3 linked regions of the Rhinolophus ferrumequinum genome follow. The protein of the gene in region 1 binds, or shares a complex with, the protein of each later gene. Links are inferred from orthologs where the notes say so. Each region holds a gene or a part of one and is shown on either strand. Other genes may lie near its edges.

What was found. The genes of interacting proteins can lie anywhere in the genome.
Region 2: TBP (region 1) and TAF1B share a complex: the UniProt entries of both Homo sapiens proteins name them as parts of the transcription factor SL1/TIF-IB complex. The link is inferred for Rhinolophus ferrumequinum from reciprocal best matches to the Homo sapiens genes TBP and TAF1B.
Region 3: TBP (region 1) and TAF9 share a complex: the UniProt entries of both Homo sapiens proteins name them as parts of the TFIID basal transcription factor complex. The link is inferred for Rhinolophus ferrumequinum from reciprocal best matches to the Homo sapiens genes TBP and TAF9.

The regions. Positions count from the first base shown.
Region 1 is NW_022680354.1:3,019,470-3,026,645, forward strand, and holds the start of TBP (TATA-box-binding protein), read left to right. Parts: upstream 1-4,151; 5' UTR 4,152-4,460; intron 4,461-5,955; 5' UTR 5,956-6,098; coding exon 6,099-6,152; intron 6,153-6,914; coding exon 6,915-7,176. Other genes in the region: PSMB1 (proteasome subunit beta type-1), read right to left, coding at 1,848-1,960. UniProt on the Homo sapiens protein: The TFIID basal transcription factor complex plays a major role in the initiation of RNA polymerase II (Pol II)-dependent transcription.
Region 2 is NC_046296.1:65,800,258-65,807,542, reverse strand, and holds the start of TAF1B (TATA box-binding protein-associated factor RNA polymerase I subunit B), read left to right. Parts: upstream 1-4,270; 5' UTR 4,271-4,493; coding exon 4,494-4,511; intron 4,512-5,841; coding exon 5,842-5,940; intron 5,941-7,285. UniProt on the Homo sapiens protein: Component of RNA polymerase I core factor complex that acts as a GTF2B/TFIIB-like factor and plays a key role in multiple steps during transcription initiation such as pre-initiation complex (PIC) assembly and postpolymerase recruitment events in polymerase I (Pol I) transcription.
Region 3 is NC_046290.1:44,820,445-44,827,427, forward strand, and holds the start of TAF9 (transcription initiation factor TFIID subunit 9), read right to left. Parts: upstream 3,016-6,983; 5' UTR 2,989-3,015; coding exon of another isoform or gene 2,961-2,988; intron 1,095-2,960; coding exon of another isoform or gene 1,002-1,094; intron 201-1,001; 5' UTR 184-200; coding exon 1-183. Other genes in the region: AK6 (adenylate kinase isoenzyme 6), read right to left, coding at 1,002-1,094, 2,961-2,988; cell cycle checkpoint protein RAD17, read left to right, coding at 3,423-3,446, 3,756-3,798, 4,720-4,823, 6,102-6,359, 6,935-6,983. UniProt on the Homo sapiens protein: The TFIID basal transcription factor complex plays a major role in the initiation of RNA polymerase II (Pol II)-dependent transcription.

The DNA of each region.
Region 1 (7,176 bases):
AGCCCTTATATGACGTCTAGCACTCAGTAGACACACAAATAATCTGCTGAAAAATGAACAGAAACCAAACTTCACTTTGTGGCTATGCGATTTCCGATGGCTGTTTACTGCAGAGGCCTAGAGCACGAATTCCAAAGCAGACTGTCTGGGTTCTCATTCTGATTCTCCCACTCGGCAGATATGAGACTGCGGCTAAGTTACTTAACGTCTCAAGGCCTCACTGTCCACATATGTAGATCACAGGTCCTAACAGTAGATACCTTAACAGGGTGTTACAAGGATTAAATTAGTTAATAATTGTAAAGCCCCATACTAGTGCCTGAAACATAACTGGTCCCCTTTAGTTAGCACCATGGTGGCATACGTACCAGGCAGTATGGCGACCACTGAGAACCTAGGCTCTGCAGCTACCTAGGACCCAATCTTGCCACTCACCTATCTCTGTGACCTTGGACAAATTATCCAAGTTCAGATCGATGACAATAACAGTTTCTGTATTACAGGGTGACTGTGAGAGTTAAATGACATAATTCATAAAAGCCCCAGCACAGCACCTCAGAGAACAGAAAGCACTCAGAAAACTTCCTTTTACCAGAGGTGGGATGTGCACTAAAGTTCTGAAGTACTAAAGGATGGTATCCCAGACACTATGGACAGTGACTGAAAGGAAATGCGTAATAATTCAAATAATACATTCAAACAACTTATTCAGGTATCCCTTTATGTGTAAGGAAGACGAGGATCATAAAGCTTATGTAATGGACAGGGATCCGATTGTGGAAAATGCCAAACGCCAAACTAAAGATTCTGGAATTTTAGTGAGAAACCACAGAGATCATATGAGCAAGAATGAGAAGAGTTCCATTTGCAAAGTGGAGTTTTAAGAAGACTACTGGGCCAGCAACACGGCAGCAACTACTGGGACAGTATGTGAAATGGGATGGAGACACTTCCAATAAGACTAATGCAATACTGTGTTTCCCCGAAAATAAGACCTAGCCAGACAATCAGCTGTAATGCGTCTTTTGGAGCAAAAAGTAATATAAGACCCGGTCTTATTTTACTATAAGATCAGGTCATGTAATATAACCATAATATAATATAAAAGACCAGGTCTTATATTAATTTTTGCTCCAAAAGTCGCATTAGAGCTGATTGTCCGGCTAGGTCTTATTTTCAGGGAAACACGGTAACAAGTTAGCAAAGAAGAGTCTTACTTAAGATAAAGCTGGTGATAAAAAAAAATACAACTTAAATGTAACATGCAAGAACGTAACATTTTAAAAGGCCCCCTCCTGAGTATTTTTTCCCTGAACTTAAGCTAAACCTTAAAAACAAGCATTTATCTATGAAACTAAGCCTGGCCAACTAAACCTACTTTCTATTTAAAATAACAGAAACGATTACCAAGCGGTTTGATTGGACCTTTTAGGTACAGACACAGCTATATATATAACAGCAAGGACCGAGCAATGCTAACTTGGTAATTTCAAGCTAAGCCTGCCCCTCGCCTGCGGCATGAGGAAGACGACTAGACCGTTCAAGAAAGGCTCGGTCCATTTGTAAAGGTCTTCCGGACCAGAGGCCGGGTTTCGATTTCTATCTGCTGCCTCACTGCGGCAGAGGGCGAGCGGGCAGTGCACACATGGCCGTCCACAGCAAGCCCCAAGTGGCCGGCCGCTGAGGTGCAGCCGGGAAGACTAAGACTGACGCGAGCAACCCACGGAGACCCAGGTCTGCAGGACGGCGGGGCAGGCATCGGGTCCGCCGCGACCCCCAAAGGCTTGAGCAGGGACGTTGGGGTGGGGGGGGTGCGAAAGCGAAAGGGGCGACTCGCCGGGCCTTACCCTCCGTTGAAAGCGTAGGGCGAAAAGCGCAGCTTCACAGGGCCCGCGACGCTGTGAGGCTCCATCGCCAGGTCTCTGCCGGGGCCCGAGTACACGGCTGGGGAGGACAACATCGCTCGGCAGCCGCTCCTGCTGTCTCACGGCGAGATGGTGGCCTCAGCCGGAAATCCGCCGCTTCCGGCTGTTCCGCGGTGCTCCTTCCCGTCGTTCCGTGTGGCACAGATGCCCAGCTCCTGGAGGTCCGCTCTGCAGCCTGGCTGTGGGTAGAGGAGCGCCCCGTATTCCGAGGAAGCTTACTGAGATGTCACGGCCTTCTTTCCTAAGAAAACATTCAAATTCACTCCTGATGGACAAAAATTTTTAAATCTGACCATACAAAAAATTTGGCAAAACTGTGGAGCAACGGAAAGTCGAATCCTCTATTGGAGTGTAAACGGGTACAAGCACATTTGTAAAAGGGCAGATGTACACACCTTAGGCCCCAGCAGTTCAACTCTGAGGTATACGCTCTACCCAGAAGACCCGTGCAACAGCGTTCATATAGCATTGTGCTTAATAGCCCCAAACTGGAAATGAGCCAAAGGTCCATAAACAGCAGAATGGATAACCCCAACTGAAGGACGTCACAGCAAGGAAAATTAACCGAGGTTAGCTCTAAGTATGAGTCTTATAACGTTGAGCAAAAGAATACATACTACCTCACTTAGGAGTACACAGTGAGTAGGAGGGGCCTGCTTGGCTGAGGTATGGGACTGGGGTTCTGGTGCTGGCAATAGTCGCTTTCTTTATTTGATTTATAACTATCCTGTACAAGCGTTTATTCACTTCCTCATATGAAAAATCTATTTTACAATTTTTAAAATGTTATGTTTTAAGAAGCAATTAAGCAATTGGCTAATATATGATGGACTACTAATATATACATGGAATTCTGGAACCAGAAAAGATTTTTGAAACTACTTGTTTAATTAAAACTCTCCCCATGTTTTACTGCAAACAAACAAAAAGGATAAGAAAAGGACTTTCTTTGGTTTGGTTATTGACAGAGAAGCATTGTATTTATTCAGGTACTGTCCTGGATAGAAAACAATCTATATAACATTCCCTATCCTTAAAGGGGCTCACAACCTCACTGAGTATATAAAATACAAAGGAAGCAAAACAATAAGCAGTATGAAGGGGTTCAGAACAAGTCTTCCCACAATGTGCCACTTTGGCATGGGGATTATTTTGAGCCGAAGACAATGGGGACCCAAAAGACTCAGGAAAAACTTTTTACCTCTCCTTTAACTGCCTAAAAGAATGTAGCTAGATGGCCTGGTCCAGGAAGAGAGAGATCACCAGAGATAAATGCAAAGAGTATGAGCCAGGTGTGGTGGGCTGGGGGAGCTCAGCAGGGCCTGCTTGTTCAACATCCTCTCTATGTCCCATTGTCTCTTCCATGGCATGGCAAACATTTATTTATCAAACCTTTGCTCTACCCGTCTTCCTCAGAGTTCTCTTCCTTCCCTTTGAAACCACAGATCCCTATCCCCTTCTCCTTAGCTCAGGATGGCACATAAGCCTCAAATGACTGACTGCCAGGGAGCCTCTTATTGTCCCATAATAGTACATAATAAAATTTGTTCATCTCCTGTTATTGTTTTATGTCAATTTAATGAATAGAACAGCCAAAAGAACCTATAGTGTAGAGGAAAAATTCTCCTCCCCTATAGGTACAATATATGATTATGTCTAAATGAACTGTAGAAAGAGATAAAGGTACTCTGGGATCTAAACAAGCATCGGGAAGCTAATAAACAACTATGGACAGTCTCATTGAGACAAATGTGAAAAAAGAGCATAAGATGGTAGTAGCAGAAGTAAAATATACTTGACTCTGTAAGCCAGGCTGTCTGCTTTTGTTTTTCTTATCTTTTGACATGTTTGAGAATAGAAAGCATGCACTGACTGAGTGCTCATCACGTGCCAGGCACGGTTCATGCTTTTCCTTATTCCATCTCTCAACGTCCATTGAGGGCAACGTCTGCTATTAGTCCATTCTGCAGACCAACAAACTGAGGCAGAGAGCCAGGTAACTTGCCAAAGGTCACACAGAGAGTCGCTTAGAAAGTCCACATTTAAAAATCTGTATCTCGCTCTCTTTTGCACGTAGACGGTCGGCCGGAAGGTGCGTGTTCCCACACCGCTGTGGCGGTTTTGTATTCTTTTCCCGAATAATCCTCTTTTTGATGAACTATCTAAAATATAATAATAATAAAATAAATAAATACATAAAAATCTGTATCTCGCTCCTTCCAGCAACAACCAATCAGAAAACGCTCCGGCCAGGCACCCTCACCCCGGAAGTCCTGAAGAGCTCCGCCCCGCCTCTCAATACCCTTCAACCGATCATCCCAGGAAACACAGGAAGTGACACTACCCACACTTCCCATGGCCGCCGCTCCAGCGTGGGCACCTCGCTGAAGCCAAGGGCTGGACTGGCGGAAGTGACAGTATAAACGCGCGCCAACGGTTCAGTAGGGTCGGGAGGGTGGCCGGGGCGGGCGCTGGTGCCGCCTACGGCTTAACTCCGTTTTCGCGGGCGGGTAGTGTTCTCTGCAGTGACTCCAGGTAACAGCCCTTTAGCCTCTTCTCTTTTCTGAGGGTTGTTCAGAGGCGACCACTGCAGCGAGGCCCCGGGGCGATGGCGGTGGGAGACGCAGGTGGGCGCGCAGGCCGCGCGGGAACGTGCCTCCCGCCCGGGCCAGAGCCACTCGGCCTGTACCGGCCGCCCACCCGCCGATTCGCCGGCTGCCCTCTGCTGTAATTCGAAAGCGGCTTTCGGCCGTACGAGCGTGGGGTGCCGGGCGCGGGAGGAACCCGGACTGCACGGTGCCGCGCACCAAGCCCCGGAGTTCTCCTGTCCTGCCATCGTTTCTCCTGATGTGGGAAGGCTAAGGACTACATCCTCTTCATCTTTGTATTTGCAGCACTTCTGTTGTAACAGCAGGATTAGTGTCAAAAGCGTATAACCGTTCGTATATCTCTGACATTTTCTGAGGCAGAGTTTTCATGTTTATGATGATCTGTCAGTAATGAGTATGTAGCCCTTGGGGTCCTTTGTCCTCTGAAAGTGGTTATCAGATTCTTTCATTTATTCCCGAAATATCTGAGTGCTTGCTTTGCAACTGCACATGCTTGAAGTGAATGTGGGTTTTTGACTTTCCACATGTAACTAGGACCTGTAGGTCTGTGTGAGAACGTCTGATCAGGTATTAATGTTTAAACTGAAATCTTATGATAATAGCACACATTTATCCTGTGCTTCTGTATGATAACTAGATGCTGTTTGTGACGTATTAATCAGTTAATACTATTTGATTCAATCAGTTCTCACAACAACCCTGAGCAAGTCAGGGGTCCATCTGAACTAAACTGAACAAAAGGTCTTTCAGCAGCCACTTGGTTCTTTTGTCTAAAACTAACTTCAAATGTTTAGCCAGTAAAGAGTAACTTTAGGAAAGCCAGACATAAGCACACTTTGTATTGATGTGTTCTAAAGAGGTAGTTATTGCACGAGTAAAAACATGGTCTTTTAATTATTTTTATGTCTGTACTACTTCTTAGTGTTTTATTAAAGTAGCAGTTCAATAACCGATAGACAAAAGTGTATTGGACTCAAATTAAGTATTTATTGAACTTAACGCCCAAACTTTGAAGATATAAAATTGATTGGAATACTTTAAAACCTGAACTTAGCCTAATAGAGTTGTGTAAACGGTGTTAATAAATCTCTCTACTCAGACATGACAGTTCGCTTAGGAATTTTTCTCTGGACGTTTTCCCCCCCAGAAGTTTTCAGTGCTGATCACGACACCTTAAATTGTAATATTATGAGTAATTAAATTAAACAGTAGCAAAACAGTTTTTATTTCTGTTGGCGATTTGGCATGCAGTCACAGGAAACATGGAAAGAATAAGATTTCAACATTATTGGTAAAAAGAAGTGTATTCCAAAATAGCTTGAGTTTTGGGGTGTGGGGGGGATTGTGTAATCATGAAACTGGTTTATAAGATTGTATAATGTACCTGTATTCTTACACTAAACTTCATTCTGTCCTCCAAGCAGCATCAGTGTTCCCTGGTGTGCCTGAAGATAGAGAGTTGAACTTGCTGAGAAGAGTGTGCTAGGGATGCTCTAGGAAAAGCCTGAACGCTGAGGCGAGCTCCAGGCCCAGGTGTTGATTTGCCAAAAAGAAAGCAGTCATCATGGATCAGAACAGCAGCCTGCCACCCTATGCTCAGGGCCTGGCCTCCCCTCAGGTAACACAGCGGTAGGGGGTGCAGTCCAGCTGTTCGCATTGTCAGAGAGAGTATGGAAGGGAAGGAAGGGAATGTAGCAGTCTGTTGTGGAAAATGGATGTATAAAGTTACCACGTGACCTAGCAATCCCACTGCTAAGCATTCACCCCAGAGAAATGAAAACACAGTATACACAAAGCCTGCACACAGATGTTTACAACACCTTTATTCATAATAGCCCCAGCACGGAAACACCCCTAATGTCAGCAACTGGAGAATGATTGTCACTGTCATTGCTAACATGTCAGTGTTTTCTATGTGCCTGTCATTGTGTTGGATGCCTTCAGTGGATGTCTCTAGCGTAACCATAAAATTTATCATCCAAACTGAGACAGATCCTCTTTGAGAGTGTGACGGGGAACCACCCCAATGGTAAGTTAGGATAAGAGTTTAAACAAGGATGTGTGCTCACTCCAGTTCTCTCCCTTATTCTTTCTAACGACCTTCACATGTTACTATCCCCTAGAATGCCCGAATAGCTAAGCAGCTTGTTCAGGTTCTCACACGTGGTAAGTAGCAAGCGTGGATGGCACAGCCAGGTCCAGTTCCGAGCCCTAAGCCGTTCCCTGCTTTGTCGTGTAAAGAAAGGGGGTGCATAAGGAGCAGGTTCCTGTCGCCATGCTCAGGGACCTGTCACACTGGAAGATGCCCGTCCTTCCCCAGGTGCGTCCTGCACACACCACCCAGCAGCTGGCCTGACCCATTTCCTCCCGCCTTTGACAGGGCGCCATGACCCCAGGAATCCCCATCTTCAGCCCCATGATGCCGTACGGCACGGGGCTGACCCCGCAGCCGATCCAGAACCCCAGCAGCCTGTCTGTCCTGGAGGAGCAGCAGCGGCAGCAGCAGCAACAGCAGCAGCAGCAGCAGCAGCAGCAGCAGCAGCAGGCAGCGGTGACGACGGTGACAGCGGTGACAGCCGCAGCACAGCAGGTGGCGGCCCAGCAAGCAACTCAGGGTGCCTCGGGCCCCACCCCGCAGCTTT
Region 2 (7,285 bases), on another chromosome or scaffold:
GCCTTACCCAACGCTCTGACCCCGAGGCCCATGACTCTACCTTTCACCCGTTACCCTCCGGCCACACTGGCTTCCTTTTGTTCCTCAAACACACCAAGTCCAGACCTGCCTCAGGCAGGGTCTTTTCACTCTCCCTAGGACTTAGCCCCCCAGGCTCTCACTGCATTGTCATCTTGGCTCAACTGATCCCTCTTCAGAGAGGTCTCTCTGATGACCCTAAACAAACTCTGTTCATTTCCCCCACCTGTCACCCTATATACCTACCCAGCTTTAAAGCATTTATCAGTCCCTAAAGTTACATTTTATATTTACCTGTTTTCTATCATTCTGCCATGAGAAACATGGCTGAAATAACAGATGACAAATACTGTTGCAAAAACTGTTGGAAGGTGTAGAAAATGCTGAAAATTTAGAAGAAACAAGTATTAGAACAAGAGACACAGGTTTGTAATTTGAAGGTTTGTGATATAGTTGGATAAAATATAGATATTTCTAACAAGTCCCTGTTCATGAGGGTCTCTAGGTTCTGTGTCACTAACAGCATGTAGAAAAAACTACTTTTGAGGCACCATTAATGGGAAGAGGCACCAGGGAGCAGCAGATACTCTGGGCAATAAATCATTTCTTTTATAAACACAATATTTTGTGGTAAAATTGTGTTCATGTAACCACGGAGGATTGTCTGCTTTGAATAAAATAATAAAGAACTCTGAGACAAGACTGTTGGCAGTGTGCTGGTTGTAACCCATCCACTGCCTCAATCACCAGCAGGAAGGGCAGCAAAAGTTGAGTCCACACATTGCTGCAGAATACCATGGATGTGGTTAATTTTATACACACAAGACCTTTCAGACGCCATGGGACTGTTACCGTAATCTGTGTGAGCTGAATATCTGTGAAAGTCCTATGTTCCACACAGAAGGTTGTTGATTATCTCCTGGCGAAATACTCAAAAAGACCTGTCAGACTTGTGATAAGTTATCTTTTTAAACAAAAAGGCACATATTCCTGCCATGACAAGTGGCTGTCAGCAGTATACTACCTAGCAGATATTTTCCAAGTTGTGGATGCACTTAATTTGTCCCTTTGGGGCAAAGGGGATGTTTCAACAAAGTAAGCAGCTGAATGGCTGGGTGTGTTGACTGGCCTTATCTTTATATTTATGATCACAGATGTCCAGGGCCCCCTAATGCTCCCTGACAATTTACTAGATTTCTGATATAACTCTCCCATTTCCAAGGGATATTACACCTCTGCTCTCTCCTCAGACCTTGTACAACCCTCCCACTTCCATGCTCGGCAATGGCTTGCGTCGTATTTCAGGAGGAACAATCAGAAGAGCCCTCCACCTTGTTCCCACCAGTGCCTGCCTCTGACTCCAATGCCTCCCCTTCTTTCCTGGTTCTGCCACACACGAGTTGCCCATGTGGATCCATCCCCTCTCCCCAGTTCAGTGACAGACCCCTAAAATCATTCCCTCTCTCTTTTGCACCATCATTTTTCTCTGAGAGTTCATTTCTATCAGCTTATAGACATCTTAAGCAAGCAAAGAGACAAAAACAGACAAACACATAAAAATCTCCCTGATTTTACATCACCGACCGGCTACGGCTCCTTTGCTTCTGTCTACAACCAAATCCCCCACAAGAGTGGCCCACACTCTTCCACCATTTTCTATTGAACTCACTCTATTTGGCTTTTATCCCCAACAATGAAGCCACTCTTGTCAAGGTCACTGATGACCCCATTTCCCAACCTGGTCATTGCAGTTCTCAGGAGCATGTGACACAGTTGATGGCATCCTCCTTTTGGACACACTCTCTTCACTTGGCTTCCAGGAATCCACACTCTCCGGACTTTCCTTCTATCTTGTGGGCATTCATTCTTAGCCCCCTTTTGTCAATCCTCCTTTGTGGTCCCGACTTCTCTATGTTGCAGTGCCCAGGTCTCAGTCCTCTCTACACTCATACCCTTGATATTTTATCCAGGCTCCTGCCTCCCAGTTACACATCCAGTGGTTACTTTTCCCCTGAACATCAAACTCGTGTATTGCACAGCATACTTAGCATCGCCCTTTGGATAGCGAATAGGCATCACTAACTTAAACATAAACCCAACTTTTACATCTGAACTCTATCATGAGCCTACACCAAAGTTTCTCCCACCTCAGTACATGGCACCTGCATTCTTAGATAGGATCAGACACAAAACTTTGCAGTCATCTTTCACTCCTCTCTTTCTCTCACACGCCACATCCAACCCATCAGGAAAGACTTTCTGCTTATACCTTTGAAGGTGACCACTCCTCATCAGCCTCACCATGCTCACCCTATAACAGCCCACACCTGGGTTATTTCAGTTGCCTCCTAAGTGATCTCCCAGCTCCCCCTTCGCCCCCTTCCAACCTATTCTCCATAGCCCAGAGGAAACCATCTAAAATATGAGGCAGCTTCTGTCACGCTTCTGCTTTCCATCTTACTGAGGATGAGCTCTGATGTCCTTACTACAAACCACAAGACTTGAGTCATGGCCTGGCCCTGGCCACCTCTCTGATCTCAGGTCATCTACCACTTCCTGGCTTATTAAGGACCACCTTACTGTCTAGGTCCGGAGTGCTAATCCCCCAAACATCTGCATGACGGGGTCCCCCATTTCTTTTATGTTTCCTTTCAAATGTCATTTTTATTTGAGAGGCCTTTCTATCTTCATATTTTGATCTCCCTTGGTGATCTCATCTAGCCTCTTTAAATGCCATCTAGATAGAGATAACTTCCAAATGTTTACTTCCAGTCCAGAATTTGCCTCTGAACTCTAGGTTCCTATATCCAATTGCCTTCTCATCCTACCTGGATGTCCTCTAGATAGCTCTAACATAACAAGTCCAAAATAAAATTCTTAATCTTCCTCTGTCCCACTCTCAAACTGTTCCACACACAGTCCTACTCAGTGATAGCTTCACCCTTACAGTTGCTCAGGGCAAAGGTCTTGACATCATCCTTGACTCCTTTCTCTCTCTTATAGCGCACGTCTTGTCCATCGAAATATCCTTATGGCTCTACCTTCAAAATCTGTACTTCCAGGTTCTGTCTACTTCTCACTGTCTCCATTGCCTTTACCTGGGTCAAGTTACCATTATAACTTGTCTGGATTAGGCTATTAGTCTCCTGACTTGTCTCCCAACTTCTGCCTTTGCCGCCTAGCACTCTGTTCTCCCCACAACAGCCAGACTAATCTGCGAAACATAAGTCAGATCATGTAACTCCTCCAGTGGCTCCCCCAATTTCTCCAACTCAAATTCCTTAAAACCGTATTTTGCCCCAACCACATTTTCTTTTTTTTTTTAATTAAATTTTATCGGGGTGACAGTTGTTAGTAAAGTTACATAGATTTCAGGCGTACAATTCTGTATTACATCATCTATAAATCATATTCTGTGTTCACCACCCAGAGTCAGTTCTCCTTCCATCACCAGTCAAGTTCCTTAAAACCATATTTTGCCCCAATCACATTTTCTACTCTTCCTTTAGCTCACTGTTCCAGCCACTTACTGACTACCTTGCTGATCCTCAAATGATATGACATGAGGCTCAGGGCACTGTCTTTACTGTTCCCTCTGACTGGAATGCTGTTCCCAACTTGGCTCTTGCTTCCTTGCCTTCAAGGTCATCTTCTCAGTAAGACTTTTCTTGACCACCCTATTAAAAAGTGAAACCATCTGATAGCTCCCATTCTCTATCCTGCTTTCTCCTTGGTACCCGTCACCATTTATCATACCATGTATTTCCTTATTTATTTTTGTCTCTCACCCCCAAAAATATAACCTCCATGAAGGCAGGGACTTTTGTTTACTTTGTTCACTGCTGAATCCTCAGGGTCTAACGAATAAATCAGGGAATGAATGTGCCCAATGAAGGCACACTAAAAGCTAAATTTAATGAGCACTTACTACGTGAGGCTCAATTAGAAGGGACTCATAGGTAATAGCTAATTTTTACAGAGAAGGAAACTGAGGCACAAGGAAGCAGAAAAGCCGTGATTAGAAACCCAGGTCTAACTCAACCTGCATTCTTTCCTCCAGGACCCTATGTCTCTCCTGTGCTATTAAAAGACAGTACGAAGTGGAAGGTGCCAGCGGTCCGAGAACGTGGGCCTCCATCGCTTCTCCTGCAGCCTGAATCAATACGAGGGTCTTACTGATTCAACACCGGTTGGATTAACAGCTTTCAAAGGAGAGCGTGAGGGATCAGTTCCGTATTAGGCACCGCCCAGTTTCTTACTGGTTGGTTTCAGTTACCTCGACCAGGAAGGGGATGCTGTCTGGGAGAGGGATGCAGGATTTGCGAGCTTCTCCCCAGGAGCCTTCCCGGCAGCCGTAAGGCCCGGAACCCAAAGTCAGTGTCTCAGTTTCCCCCCGGAGGGCTGCTTCCGCTGCTCCCGGAAGCTGCACTCGCTGCGCTAGTAACAGGCCGGGCTGTGTCGGAGGCGGTACTGTTATGGACCTAGAGGAGGCGGTGAGCGGGCCGTGAGCCGGGCGGGTCGGGACAGCGGGGCGGGAGGGGAATGAAACTGAGGAGAAGGGGTTGGAGGACGCGGACACGCTGTGGGTGCGGCCCCAGGCCGAAGGAGGGCGGGGCGGAACGCTGGGGGGCGGGGAAAGGAATGGGGCTGGCGGGCGTGTGAGCTTGCGATTTGGGGAAAGAGGATGGAGTTTCTGGCAGGATGGGGTTGTGGGTGAAGGGGGAGCGGTATTAGCCGATATGGGTGTGTTTCAGGAGAAGGACGAAGTTGTGGGTTTTGTGGGGTGGCCACCCGCGTGGCTCATCCTCTCTCGAGAGGACCACCTACAAGTTCCCTTTGATGTTGGGGCGGGCGAGGGAGCGCCGGCGTTGAAACTTGAATGCCCCCAAGTAACCCCTGCCAGTCTTCGGGAATCCTCGCCACCGTTTGGTGCAGGGATTCCAAATTCGGTTGTGAGGACACTCCAAGTATTGATAGTTATCAATAGGGGGTTAATAAAAACTTGACTAACTTGTCGAAATAAATTTGACATTCATTTTCCACATACTACATAAAATGCCGCACTCTTTATTAAAGGAGTATTCCATAATTAGATCATAATTAGATAATAATGTCAAACACCAAAGAGTTGGAAATCAGTAATTTAGGAACAGTCTATGTATGTATAGAAGAATGATAGAAATAGAAGGCCTTACTTATTGTGGATGCTCAATAGATGTGTATTGAATGATGGATGGGTAACATCTGTAAATGCTGAGTTAATGTCATTAATCATTATAACTCACCATCAGCCTGTATACCTATGAGTAGGGATCCTGTCTAGTTTGCTCACCACTGAATCCCCAGCACTTAAATTCCTGGTACTACATAGTTGATACTCCTTGTATTGCTGAATGAATAAGTTGAAACTGGAAACAACCCTAATAAAAATCTGGTTCCTTTGTAGCGAGTATGTGTTTAGTGTCCTGGAGGAAGTTACAATGTATGCTGTTTCTATTTTTAAGTCTTCTCTATACTTAAACCTTGTCATCTTTTTTCATCCTAGCATTTTCAAGTTTTATTTACTCACTTTTTTTTTTCCATTTTACTCCTACCACCTTTTTCCCCCCCATTTTTTCCCTCACACACTGCATATTTTAGAAATTTTAATTCCATTTCGAACTGCTCAGGAAACCGAATCTCTTTTCTCCCCATTTATAGATAATCTCTCTGATATGTTTTCTATAATTTTTAATGTATAGGGTAAAATTGCAGGGAACCCTGTAGTAGAATTGCAGGCTTTAGGGACAATGCATTGAATGTGGTTTTCCTCTTGTCCTGCAGAAAGAATTCAGAGAACGCTGTACTCAGTGTGCTGCTGTCTCTTGGGGTCTTACTGATGAAGGCAAATATTATTGCACTTCTTGCCACAACGTTACAGAAGTAAGTAACAAATCTCATGTATAAATTTGCTCATGTTTTAAAAATTGCAATTTCAGCCTGATATATGTCATAGTTCCTAAAGAACTGATCTATTTTTAATCACTCATGCAATGCCCAAATTCCAAGAATGTAAATAGTCTTCAAGTGCTTACACAAGGGTTAAGGAATTTGTAAATTAGATTTAGAGTGAGTTTTTGAAATTATGTTGGGCCGTTTATATATAAATGATTTCCAGATTCAGACAGTATAGTCTAAGGGGGAATAATTAAAATTGTATTTAGAAGATGATGCATTTCTTTTTATTAGTTAATACTTATTTAAGAGTTTTTAATGTGTCGTGGTAGCTTAGAGGTTTGGAAGATGAAGTGTTAGAAAGATTGAGGACTGTTGAGAGTATTGGAAATATGCTTCATTATTATTTTTCTTCGTACAGTACCTTACAGATTACCAAGTCTTTTCTTACCCATTATTGAATTTGCCCCTTGTAACAATAGTATTTGAGATATATACTATTATGCATATCTATAGACACAGCAAGTAGGGCTCACCAGTAGAATGAGTTTGCCAAAGTCACACAATTATGAAGTGTTGAGCCAGGAATCGAACCTGAGTCTTCTGAGTTGAGTGTTCATTTTACCCACTGCACCTGCCTCTTAAAATAGAGATTGTCATACTGTCCTATGTGGCATTGGTAAATGAGGTTACCTTCACCCGGTGGGGGGCTAGGTCCTGTTCTGGTTACACATCTTCAGGAAAATAACCAAAATAATCAAGGGTATGGACAGCCTGCTGTTGGACAGGCTAAACATGCCAGGGCTCTTCTCTGGAAAAGGATTTGCTCAAAGTCTACAGAGCCAGGAAGGAACAAATATTACCTTCACCACATTGGCTTAAGAAAGGCAAATTTGGGATAGATGAAAGTAACTGTGTAGACTTCTGCTGCTGGCCAAGATGGAGTAACAGGCACCCGATTTACCTTCCTACCATAAATAACTAAAAACATGGGAAAATATATGAAACAAGTAAAAAAATATTTTCCCTTGAGAAAAGTGGTTAAGTTAGCTTGCAACTCAGTCACACAAGAGCTTTTCCTTTTCGATGACTGAGATAATCATTGTTCTGTCTGCAGTAGCAATTCTTATGTCCTTCCCATTTAGTCACACAGTATTAAAAATATAAGTGCTCATTCAATGAAATGGTTGGGGTGATGGATCTGTTTATTTTCTTGATTATGGTGATGGATTCATGGACACACACACACACCATATTGTATACTGTAATATGTGTAGTTTGATCCTCTGCTTTGATGCATGTTAAGGCAGACTGGTAGTTTTACTCACCGTTG
Region 3 (6,983 bases), on another chromosome or scaffold:
AGCATGGCTTGAATAAATTTTTGCATCATCTAGAATTGTGGTCACATATCGGAAGGCAAACTCCAACATCTGATTTATAACTCTTGGCTCATATTCTGTAATCCCCATATCCTTCAGGATTTGTGCCATCATCTGTGCATCTTTCGGCATGCTCTTGGGAGAAGCCATCTTGCCAGACTCCATGATATCCGGTGATCAGACTTCAGATCATTTGAAAAAAATACGTACATTAGGTCAAACCTGAAATAGTTACTATAGTAGCAACTGTCAGGAACTTAAAAAATTTTAAATACGTTAAATTTTTCAAAACATATTTAAATTTTAAAAATATGTTAAATCTTTTTAATTTTAATGAGGCACACTTTAAGAAGTTCCCTTAAATTTATTGAGTTTCTACCCTGTAGAAATCATTATAGAATAAAGATACAATTATAAGATAAACAAAGATAAAGACACAATAAGGGAGTGATAAAAGATGAGGGGGAAATGGTAAAATAAGTAAAAACATATTTTAGAATATGTGCAGTTGCATGCAGACATGCAACTATCAAATTAATGTAAGAAAATACCACAGGACAGTCATGTTCTACTGTCTGATTTCAAAATAATCTGTCCTTCCAGTAAGATCAATATAACACTGTCTCCAAAGACATCCTCAGCACCACCCAAACCTTTGTGTTGACCCATCTCCAAACATTGTCCCTCTTCTTCATATTCAGATTCTACCTATCCTAAATCCAATCTCTTCATGAAAACCTCAATTATTACTGTCCACAAGAACTGCTAGTCAACTGGGGAGCAATGTAATGGTCAAAATAGCCAGGACATAGCTTTAGACACTTAATGCTTATGATTTCTATGGATCCCCAGTAGAGCATAACTCCTTAATGGCAATCTTTCTCTGCATGTTGTACCCTCTCAAGGATAGTACTAATACTCCATTATCTGTCTCTCACACTCTCTCTTTTTAAAAACAAATTTAACATCAAAATGTCCCTTACCTTCTCGAGCTAAATCACCCACATTAATGTATTTCAGTCCTGATCTTGATGCAAGTTCTTTGCCCAGCGTGGTTTTTCCAACCCCTGGTGTACCTGTAAGAAAAATACTGTTCATGAAATACTTACTAGGCTTTAGTAAGCTATGTGCCCCGCTTAAGGTTAATGACTGAAATGAAGTTTCCTAATTAGCAATCCCATGTGAATTAACACACACAATAACCACCCCAAGCATGATGGATGTCCAAGTCTCACCCAGTGTATCTGATTCTATCAGGAGTGTGGCTTGGGTGATTCTGATGCCAATTCAGACTGCTTGCCAACACTATGGACATTCCCAGAGTAAAATTAGCCATCCCACATAAATTAATATCCTTGTTCGCTTTAATTTTTTAAAAATTAAGAAATTATTCACGGGAAAAAAATCTAAGAAGTATGAAAGACAAATCTCATTTCCACCTGTGATCCCCTGTACTCTTCCCTAGAGGCAACCACTGTAAACCAGTTCCTTATATATCTTTCCAACGAAGTCCTATGTATGTGTTTGTGTACACATTCATGTATATGTATACACAACAGCATGTGTACATATATGTATACATATTATGTGCACATACACACACATACATTCCCTTTTACATAAATGGCAACGCTACACATTGTTCTTCACTTTCCCTTTTTATTATCTATTGTATTTCAAGATGCATCAATGCATAATTTTAGGCTGTTTGGGTTTAATGTCACCGAAATAATAAAACTTGATCGTTACAATCCAAGATAACAGGGATAAATCAAGTCTCCATATACAAGACAATAACATTTACCTTAAGTCCACTATAATACACCAAGTTTGAACCCTGGACTTACCAGGTTTTCAATAAAATGCTCACCTTGATTTTTGACAATATGCCTTAATATCAAAATCCAGGACACTGTCTGACCCAAACAATTCAGATGCCGTAAAATCTTCCTTTTAAGGAATCTTAAAGGCTGAACATTAATTTGTTGAGAGGTTAATCTGCAACTCTCAGAAACAGAAATTGTGCACTACCAACAAGCTTATGTTTTGTTAAATGATGAAAACTTTATTGCTTTGTTTCCAGAGTGTCTCAATTTTTCTGTGTTGTAATAGCACCTATAACCATTAGATTTTCTTCAATGAATGCCCTATGATGCTATTAACTGCTACAATTTAATAAACATTTTCAGAGTTAAACGACAAACAGTAACATTCTTTAAAGTCGTTATGCGGCATTTCAGTACTCCTCACGTATAACAGGCCGGGAGACCCAGAAGGGCCCCCACGGGAATTTTTCAGCATCTCTACACAAGAAACGACGAGATGCTCAGTAGATGCCTTTTGTTCTTGGAAGAAAAGAAAAAAGCCTCTGGCATTAACTCAACAAACATATATAGCAAATTAATCACCCTATACCACAAACACCTGAGCCCTTTTACTGAAATCTGACTCTCAGATACAAAGGAAAAATGAAACACGGCCAGGTAAGGCCTAACGACTAAGGCATCCACCAGTAACAGATCTACTAAGGGCCAAATACTGCCTTACAAGATATCGCAAAAAGCCAAAGAAAACCCTGCCAAATAAAGAATCAACATCCATTTTAGAAACAAAAACCAGATTCAGGAAGAGCAGGCAGCATGCCAGAAAGGGGAACTAGATTGGTCTACCTCTCTCCACCTCACCGAGCAACCTCGGGCCAACAGAACGAACGTTCCCCTCCCCCCCGCCGCCTCCCCCCCGCCGCCTCCTGCTACGATCGCGAGGGCCCCATCTCGAGGCCCTGGCAACTGCCACGCCTCGAGGCCCTCGACTGGCCTCGAATATGTGAGCGCCCCCGCTGTGTGTGTGACAAACACACACTTCGGGCGCCCGAGGCCCCAGTGCACTCAGCGTCCCTGGCCTGCCCCGCCGTCCAGCCCGTCCCCGCCGCGCGCCCTGACCGGTGAGCAAGATGTTCGGAAGCAACATGGTCCTCCCCGCGACGGCTCTGGGAATATCGGCACACGAGACCTAAGTATAACAGGCTGGAGCCGGAAGGAGCGGGCCGCGGCAAGCGCCAGTGGCCCCGGGGTCCTCAAGATCCTGCACGGCGCTCGCGACCCATCTCCGCCTTCTAGTCACCAACCATTGGTTATCTGACCTTCTATGACACAATTCCATCTCAGGGTCCGAGACAGGGACACAGTTCGGGTCCGCAATTCAGGTCAGGCAGTGCGCTGGATGCCTAAGTCGCTTGTTCCTTTGGCTGCCTCCGCCCTTCGGGCTCTGTCGCGGAAGGGCCGATGGGTCTGGAAGGTCCCGTGAGGCGGGACCTCGGAGAGGCTAGGGGCTGAGCCCGGGTAAGACCTGGTGGCTTCCCTTCTACTGGAGCAGAACCTGGGTTCCTTCGCTCCTCTCCGCGCATGAGGTCATGCAGCTCCCCGCAAGTAAGGCCGCCGCGGCTGCGGCTGCAGTATATGTCCTAGTGATGCGAGTCCATCTCTGCCTGCACGCCTTCCCGGGGTCTCGTCGCTCCTCCTTCCTACTTGCCCATCCCCTTTGGCGATGAGAGGGTGGGGGTGCAGACCTCTGGCCTGGAGCCGGCGCAAGCGAGCGGATCTCGGCTCTCCACTGATGAGCAGCATTACGTTGCACAACTGTCTGAGCTTATTAACCCCTGTTCAGTGTGTAGGGTGGTGGTGGGTCTGCTAGAAATATTCTCGAAGGTTTCTTCTACCTCTGACGTCTCGTTTCAGGACCCTGGCATCGTCAAGGACGGTTACCTGCTTTTTAAAGGAGGTAATTGTCAGTCTTGTTTTGAAAGAACGACTGGACTCCTGGCCGTAGCGACAGTCTGTGCCTTTTACTTCGACCTGCCAGCTAGATGTACTCAATGTTTTTAACATCTATGTATCTCTTGAAACGCCAAAGCAAAAAAACTCTAATCGTGAACGATTTGTATCTGTATGTGTACGATTTGTTTTCTAGTACGTGGAAGTATTTACACATTATGTGTGCCTCCACGCTATTAAAAAAAAAGTCCCATAGACCTCCCAATTTATAAGTTTATAGACCTTAAAAAAACTTTCCTCTGGCTAACTTAAAATTGGCGAGTTTACTAGTTTTGTATAAACACTGAAGAATTATGAAAGTCGGAAAATATAGTGTTGCCAAAAAATTTCCTAATATGTTCAAATAAGGAAAACAGTTATAGGAAAAACTTACAGTAAGATTTAAAATCTTTGTCCAAAGTGAGTGATAAAGTCTGAATTCATTGTATGGTGGAGTGTTTTTGTTGAAATTTTGGCAACTGTAATTTGCCAAATTACAAAATTACAAATTTGTAATCAACTGTAATTTGAAATAAGGGAAATTTTAAATTTTCCTATAAAAACTACACAAATAGAATGTCTAGTTTTCCTTAATGACAAAAGGTAGGTACACAAATATGTGGTTTTTCCGTTTTCTCTAGTTATTGAGTTCGTATCAAATAATTTACATTTATAATACCATGAATAGACTGACAATTATAGCCATTAAAATTAAAATTTATTTTAGCATTTGACTCTTGTTTCACCTATGTTTACTCAGTTCTCTTTCACTTAGTTCTTTTTCACTCATCTTGAGCCTTAACCTTCTTATGCTGTTGATTATATCCCATATGTTAATTACTGTCCTTCTGTTTTACAGTTTTTCTTAATTGAGAATTTTTCCCCCCAGGTGAATTATACTTTAATGTACTACAGGTTATATACTACGGATGGGAACTATTAAAGTTTATAATGTCAAAACCTTTTCTTAGACAAAAGCTATCTTCCACAAAGGTATGATACACTAAAATTGTCCTGTAATAATTGCCTTAAAAAAAAAAAGTAAAATTTTTGTACATGTTTTTAATGATTTATTACTGCTATCAAAGTAATGGTGCCAGTATCTGTTCTAATTAGTGATCTAAAAAGTCTAATAAGTTATGAAACAGCTCTGCACTAAAAGTACAACCTTAATTTTGAAAAGTCATTTGCAATCCCAATCAAAAAGAAAATGCTGAAAACTCTTGAAAGAGCAGTAGAAGAAAGGACTATATGAATTGTATTTGGTGTTAAAGCTTAACAGAGGCTCTGCCTCTTAGAAATCATGTGGTTCAGTGTGCCAGTTCTCAGCAAGGTTAGGGGGTAGAGTAGGATGAAGGTAGAGTTGGACAGTATCATCCTCATATGCAAAGTAGCTATTTTCCTAATGGTTTGTCTGATTTTTCTCTGATCTTAAGTAAATTATTTAACTTTGCCATTTCTCTCTTTTTTCAGTAAATGGCAGTCCACATTTATGTAAGAAATAAAACTATAAAACATATAAGTAACATGTAGATCAGAATTGTTATTCACACATAATATTTTTATATACTCTTAAAAATTGAGGAAAAGGGCCAAAATTATAGTAATAGTGACAGTCTTTTAAAGAGAAGGAGACGAATTGGGTAACTATGACCAAATTTTTTCCCAGAAGTTTTCATTTCTTTACCCACTGCTGATAATATTCTAACCCTGTGTCCTTAAAAGAGGAGTGAATATAATTAAGTCATATTAACAAATTATTCATAACATCAGGAGTCTTAGACTATATCCTCACAAAGTCTTGAAGCTGTTAGGGATTATTTGGATGTATTGAAATGTAATGTATTACCTGGTGAAGGCAAAAGTGTTACTTTTCTCGTTGTACATGGGTAAAATAATGTTTCTTTGTTTTGCTTCTTTTTTGGTAGGTAATTTAAATATTTATGTTTCAGTTCTACAAACAAGTTTAAAAGAATCAGCCTATTCTTTATCGTGGGAAGATTACATTGATAAAAAGAATTAAGTTTATATCTTATATTCCTTTATATGGTATTCATCATTACCAAGGTCAAGTAGACAAGTATGCATTTGTATTTACTGTAAAGTAGAAATATAAGTATTACATATAACATCAATTCTATTTAAAGAGCTAATTTGCGAGATGTTTGTTTTAAATGTTGCAAATATACAAACATTTTTTGTACACAGTTTAATTACATAGGGAACAGATGCAAAAAATGCAATAGTATTTACATGATTTCTTTTTTTCAGGTAACAGACTGGGTAGACCCATCATTTGATGATTTTTCAGAGAATACAAGCATTTCTACTATTACTGCCACATCATTGGGTGTGAAAAACTCAAGTCATAGAAGAAACAATTTGTCGTCCCCATTAGAAAGTAGCAGATTTCCAACTAGAAAAAGAGGAAAACTATCTTCCTCAGAAGACATTTATGGTCTAGAAAATTCAAAAGAATATCTGTCTGAAAATGAACCGTGGGTGGATAAGTACAAACCAGAAAGTCAGGTAATAAATAGCATGTAAACATGTCTATGTAATTTAGTTTCATAAAGGAGAGGGATGTACACTTTCAGATTATTACTCATAGAATTCTTTTTATCTAAATGAATTAGAAAAAAACCAGTGTCTTTTTTTATGTCCCAAGGCTCAGATTTTCTCAGCAATTATTCTGAAGTTGTACAATTGATTATTTGTATTTATCTTAGATTAAACTTAACCCAACATAGAATTGATCTAATCTGGGTTTTTTTTGTTGTGTGTGTGTGTGTGTGTGTGTGTTTTGCTAAATGTAATACCTATTTATTTCCTTCCCAAAATATATTTCAGGATTTTTAAAAAATCGTATAATTCCAAACCTGCCCAGTAGTTTTCGTACAATAGTGTCAGCTTACAAACATTTTTTTCATAACAATAGAAAAAATTAAATGTAATCAACCTTTTCTATTACTATATCATATTACTTATTTTTTAGTGTTTTCTTGTTTGTTTTTTAGTGTTTTCATTAAAAATGTTTAGATTAATCTGTGATGTACCAAAAATCCTTCAGTTAAAATGTTTTATTTTAAACTTGATATTTTTAGCATGAACTTGCTGTGCATAAAAAGAAAATTGAAGAAGTTGAAACCTGGT